Arabidopsis thaliana: one gene and its partner. The protein of the gene in region 1 interacts with the protein of each later gene in a pairwise test. Each region holds a gene or a part of one and is shown on either strand. Other genes may lie near its edges.

Evidence for each region. The genes of interacting proteins can lie anywhere in the genome.
Region 2: the proteins of AGL99 (region 1) and AGL76 interact in a two-hybrid assay, tested with the Arabidopsis thaliana proteins (one large-scale study listed by BioGRID).

Annotation. Positions count from the first base shown.
Region 1 is NC_003076.8:1,331,244-1,334,583, forward strand, and holds AGL99 (AGAMOUS-like 99), read left to right. Parts: upstream 1-1,515; 5' UTR 1,516-1,581; coding exon 1,582-2,550; 3' UTR 2,551-2,679; downstream 2,680-3,340. Other genes in the region: CYP77A9 (cytochrome P450, family 77, subfamily A, polypeptide 9), read left to right, coding at 1-864.
Region 2 is NC_003076.8:16,050,179-16,053,542, reverse strand, and holds AGL76 (AGAMOUS-like 76), read right to left. Parts: upstream 1,665-3,364; coding exon 507-1,664; downstream 1-506.

The DNA of each region.
Region 1 (3,340 bases):
GATCCACGAATTCACGACTATCTTCCGATTCTAACTCCGTTTTACTTCAAGGAGAGGAAAAATTCTCTGGAACTTCGCCGGAAACTTGTCCAATTCGTCGTTGGATTCATCGAGAAACGACGATTAGCGATTCGAAATCTCGGCTCCGATAAAACGGCGTCGTCTTTCGCGTATCTTGATACTTTATTCGATCTCAGAGTTGATGGTCGTGAAACGTCACCGTCAGATGAAGATCTCGTGACGCTGTGTTCAGAGTTTCTCAACGCCGGTACGGATACGACGGGGACGGCGATAGAGTGGGGAATCGCGGAGCTGATATCGAATCCGAAGATTCAATCTCGGCTGTACGATGAGATTAAATCAACGGTGGGAGATGATCGAACGGTTGAGGAGAAAGATTTGAATAAAATGGTCTTTTTACAAGCTTTTGTTAAGGAGCTTCTCCGGAGACATCCACCGACGTATTTCACGTTAACTCACGGCGTTACGGAGCCGACTAATCTCGCGGGTTACGATATTCCCGTCGGGGCTAATGTTGAGTTTTATCTTCCCGGTATAAGTGAAGACCCGAAGATATGGTCTAAACCGGAGAAATTTGATCCGGACCGGTTTATAACAGGTGGAGAAGACGCCGATTTAACCGGAGTCGCCGGAGTTAAAATGATGCCGTTCGGAATTGGCCGTCGGATTTGTCCGGGGCTTGGAATGGCGGTCGTACACGTGGAGCTAATGCTGTCGAGGATGGTTCAAGAGTTTGAGTGGAGCTCGTACCCGCCGGAGAGCCAAGTGGATTTCACCGGCAAATTGGTGTTCGCGGTGGTGATGAAGAATCCGTTGAGAGCGAGGGTTAAAGCTAGGGTTTAAGTTTCGTTGATTCCACGTCTTTGATTCTTTTAACTTGACCAAACCCGGTTCAAGAGAGAAAATTCGCATTTTGTCTAATTTGCTTTGGTTTAATTAAATGTTTTCCTACTCTTCAATTACTAAATAGAGCCATGCATATTCGATTTACGTTTGTTTTAGTTGGTTTGCATTATTGCATGTCTTCAAATTAAGCTAGTATAAACTAATAATTTAGATGGTTTGACTAAACCAAATAACTGTTTATTACTGAACCAAATTTTCGATTAAATCACTCTTTCAGAAAAGGAAATTTCTTTGACAAAGGAAAAGGAAACATATACTTATTGGATTAATTAGTGATTAGTAGATTATCACGAAAAGGAAATAGAATCGATGGTTTAACTGAACCAGCCATGGTTAGTTTCAGGTGCTTTTCGAGTTAAGTTTTCAAAAAAGGAAATCGATTGTACTTAGTTTGGTTCGTCTCAGGCGGTTTAAGAGTCATTACTTTCAAAAAAGGAAAATAATTATACTTAGTTCGTTTAATCACTGATTAGCTAATTGTCAGAAAAAGGAAATATAGTCGATTGATTAGAAACGAGTAACAACACAGAGTCTATATATACACGATTAGAAACAGAGAGTAGCCATATCATATTCTTTCGCAACAGGCTAACACAAAAATCTCTCTGTCTTTTTCTCCTTCTCTTTCTTTGTCTGTGAAATCGTGAACACAGAATGGGGGGCGTGAAGAGAAAGATTTCTATAGAGCTGATAGAGAAGAAAGATTCAAGAGCTGTTGCTTTCTCAAAACGCAGTAGGGGTCTATATAGCAAAGCCTCTGATCTTTGTCTTCTCTCCGATGCACAAATTGCGATCATAGCCACTCCGGTCTCTTCCAAATCAAACGTTTCTTTCTACACCTTTGGCCATTCCTCTGTTGATAACGTTGTAGCCGCTTTCCTCACGAATCAGCGTCCTCGGGAAGGTCTAGGGTTAGACTATTGGTGGGAAGATGAGAGGCTTTCAAAATCAGAGGACCTGGAGGAACTGAGAGACGCAATGGACTCGATGTCGAAGATGTTGAAAGATCTGAAGGATTTGCAGAATCAACGAGATTGTGAGGAGGACGTGAAGAAGAAGGGTGTTTTACACGGAACTCATCAAAAGCAAACCTTTAATCCTGAATCATGTTCTGTGAATTTCGATGGGTTTAACAAGAACACTGAAGAATTTGATCTTGATGAAATATTTGATTATGTGTCAACAGCTGAAGCTCTATCGATGAACTTGGACATGGACGATGTCTCTGTGGTGACCACGAATCAAAACCCCGTCTCTGCTTCTGAAACTGTTGAAGATAGAGAATTGGTTGTTCACAAAAATATGGATGAGGACAATATCCACGTGTCTGATATGGACGACAAGGATACGATGCTAATGATTTCTGACAAGAACAATGTTTTACCTGAAAACTTGGATGAATTCGATCAAGAGCTAGATCTTGATCAGCTACTTGATTTTGAGACAAACTATGAAAGCCTTTTGAAGAGTTGTGAGATGGAGGATTATGCCTCGATGGTGACTACAAAGCAAAATCTGTGCTCAAATCCTGAAGCTGTTGAAGATGGAGGATTAATGATTCAAAAAGATTTACCGGAGGATAATCTCTGCTTTTCTGATTATTTCAGTGACTTACATTGCTGATATTTGAAACTCCCTCCAAGATAACAGATGTTTCAAGGATTGCTTCGGTTTATTTTCGTTAGAGATACTTTACTCAAGGAAGGTTCCGGTTTGACTTCAATCAATTTTCCATGCTTCATTGGATTTCTGGGATGTTGATCTAACTCAAACCGGTTCAGTTTTGGTTTGCCTTAACTAATGAAGAAACCATCCTTTTTTCTTTTAAGTTTTGTAGTCTTTTCTATCAACTTGTCTTGTTTTATATGTGTGATGTTTTCTTCTTATATTAAAAGTTTAAAACCAATGAGTCTTACTACTCTTTTTTTCTTGTATCAACTTGTGTCTTGTTTAACTGTGGGATGTTTTCTAATCTAACCAACAAATAATATTAAAACCAATATTGAGTCTTACAACAGAAAACATCTGTCTGACAATCTTTGATTAGGAATGTCTCTGCTTTCTTATTAAGTACCAAAACCAGTCATCATCTAGGCCAGTATTTTGTGATTACTTCATAACTTGAAAACAGATAAAGCTTTACCAAAATAGAGCAGAATGGCTCCATAACAAATTGCAGAAGAACCGGTGCTAATTGATTCCATTCAAAACGTGATGCAGAGAAGTGTTTATATGGCGGGGAAAGTTTGGGAAAAAACACCTTGTAATTGGTTCAAATGCAATGTAGGGGGAGCTTGGGTGTTAAGAAATGAGTTGGGTGGTTTTACTTCACAGTCGCCGGGCGATATTTAGTATAAGAAGTGTAGAGGATGCAAAGCTAAGAGTTTTGCTTTGGTCTATTGAAAGCATGTCA
Region 2 (3,364 bases), about 15 Mb from region 1:
ATTATTGTTCTCTTATTACACCATCATAATTTTCAGAGATGAGAGTGAACATTAGTGATGGAGATAGTATACAAGTTACACACTAGTCAAAAATGATTTACTTGCCCTACTTTGTGATACAATTCTAATTGGATGTTACTAATAGGCAAGCTTCTCTTACTTTACTACATGTTTCATCACCACAATTGTTTGATTGCTTTGCTTGTTTCTGCTACTTGCTACTGTATTGCTTGTTGTTTTGAGTTTCGTCGATGTGCCTCAATTTAACATGTTAGTTAAAGATTGCTCGAGTTTTTATATCATATATATGTAATAACTAAACCGAAAATACAAGTTGTAACTTTAAAACTCAGAACGAAATCTCTACAGATTAACAAGCGTACTCAAAAATAAAAATTAACAAGTGAATCAAGACTCAAGAAAACAGCTTCACTATCTCTGTTCCGCTACTTCACCATTGATCATAGCCATAGAGTTCATGCTGCATCAACTGATTCAACCAGGGGTTATTCACAGATTCTTGTTCTGTGTTTGAGACGCTGTTGAAAGCTGTTGTTAATGATGTTGCCCATAGACATGTTTTGATCACACCCATAAAGTTCATGCTGCATCAACCCAAAATTAGTCACAGATTCTTGAACCGCTTCTTTGTTTGAGACTTGAAAATTGTTGTTGGTAAAGCACATGTTCTGCTCATAACCACAAAGCTCCTGCTGCATTAACTCAGATTGTCGTTGGTTATTGACAGATCCTTCTACCGCCGAGTAATGTTGTGCCTTTGAGACGCAAGGATGTTGAAAGCTGTTGCTATTGATGTTACCCATACACATGTTTTGATCACAACCATATAACTCCTTCAGCATCAACTGATTCATCCCAAAGTAGTTCACAGATTCTTGTACCGCTTCTTTCTTTGAGAAGTAAGGAAGTTGAAAATTGTTGTTGGTGATGTCACCCATCCTCATGTTCTGATTCTGATCATAACCATCCTGCTTCATTAACTGATTCTTCAACTCAGATTGTTCAAGTAACGCTGAGAAATAATTCTGATTGAAATTTGATGCAGAGACTGAGATCTGAGACAGAGTATTGTCTCCATGGTTATACATAAACAGCGAAAACTGTCTAGGGTTCAAAGATTGGGTCTGATGATTCAAAGAGGATGGTGTTAAACTCTGATGATCCGGTTTTGTCTGTTTCTGCGACTCAAGAAATCGAAGCCTTTCTTGGAATTTAGAGACATGGAGTTTTAAGGACTGAGTCAGTTGAGAAACTTGGTCGGGAGGGTAATGATCAGCGAGTGGATACTTTAAAACATTCACGTTCTTCTTAAGACAAGTCTTCCTCTTATTGTTCGGATTCTTCAAACCCTTCTTCTTCTTCTTCTTCTTCTTGTTCAGGAACCCATGAAGATTAACGCTTTTCTTGCTTCTCAAGGCTTCGTTTAATTGACTATACCTCAGAGCAATGTCTCTCACTTTCTCTTTCTCCTTAGGCCATGTCTTAAGTTCTCCGTCTGGTCCGTAATAGATGACGCACGCTTCGATATCACAGAGAGTGCAAAGCTCTGAAGCTTTCTTGAATATAGTCTCAAGTCTGTTACTCAAACTTGTGGAAGCGAGTGAATAAGAAGAAGAGGAAAAAGGTAATGATCGCATAGTCATCTTCTTGTTGGTTTCGAAGACAAACTCTCTGTTTTTTTCACGTTCAAAGTTAAGAGAAAGCACGAAGGCGAAGAAGAATAAAATTGAGAGAGTGAAACTAATGTATTAGGTTTGGAGAGTAAAATCATATATTTATAGATGTAGAAGTAAAGATTTGGTTTTCATAACCACTCACGCTCATCGGTAAGAAAAGGAAATACGAGTATAGATTTGATTTCCGTATTTTATAGATTTAATAAAAAGAAATTTTCACTGGATGAAAAAAGAATTGCTCTCATGGTTTGTCAAAGTGAGATATGGTTTTTACCGTTTGTCTTTTCAGTTGTTTTCAGACTAAAATACCCTTAATGGGAGCAACCAAATCACACAGCACTTGATTTCGGTTTAGTTTTTCTGGTTTTGTTTTGAAACTTAATGGTTTACCCTTAATGGTTTTGTGATTTTGGTTTATCCTTAATGGTTCAGTTTTGAAAAAAACAAAAAAAAAACACTGAAACAAAGAAACAAAGAAGAAGAAAAAGAGAAAGAGACGGAGTAATTCGAGAGAGAAGTAGAAAGAAGTTCAAAATTCATTATCCACTCCTTCATATTTCGACATCTCTCCATTGAACTCCAAAATTGAGGAACAAATTTCTTGTTTTCAGAGATGAACAAAATGCAAAAAAAAAGCTCCTAGATACAAACACTTTAGCTTTTTAAACTAAAGATACTCTAAGTTTACAAGATTTATTTATAAATAGTAATCAAAACGTAAAAAAATGAGATTTTGAGAAAACTGATAAAGACGGCCGCAAAATTAGGTTTGCAGAAAAGGATACACAGGTTGAAGATGACTGGAAAATTACAATTATACCCTTCATCGAATTTTTTCTGTGTACGTACACGAAATTATTTATGGAACATATATGAGACGATTTCTAATAATTCAAACTATTTTATTACGTATTCTTATATCTCAATAATCTCAATACATACATAATAATTAAATAAAAATAGATGGTGAAATAATGTACGTACATTTTTGTTGGTAAATTAATGTATGTACATGTGTAATAATATACGTACATCTTTGTTTGTGAATGAAATTATTAAGAAAAATTTATTAATACAATATTAAACCAATATTGGCAGTGGCTGAGATAAGACATTGTTTGTTGTATGATTTTTCTGTTCTTAAAAACACTTCCCAATCTATAGTGTAGGTACATTGGTACAAACCATGTTGACACATACTTCTTCGAGTCACAACTGGTGTACGGTCACCCGAGTGAGAAATGTTATCTCCGCCAGGTACACGCTGACTTGTGTACGTACACTCTGCCAACAGACGACTGAATTCCCCTGGTGTGAGAATGACGTTCTCGTCAACATTCCCTATTCCATATTCTTCTACAATTACATCGTTCCACTTGTTGTAATCATAATCTTCGCCACTACTTTCACTACCATCAATAGTAGGATCGAGGGTACTTCCCCCTATAGATCCATCGTCACCCTGATAATCATCATACCCACCACCATCTTTGTTGTCCCCCTCCTCTTCATCCTCATTTGTTTTATCGTCTTCATCGTCGTCTTTCTCATCTACGGCCTCATTATTTTCATCAACATTTGAAACACTATCACATACACGGTCACTTTCAGCATCATCACCATGAGTCCTAGAGACATTATTATCGGGTGTCTTGACGGTTGTAATG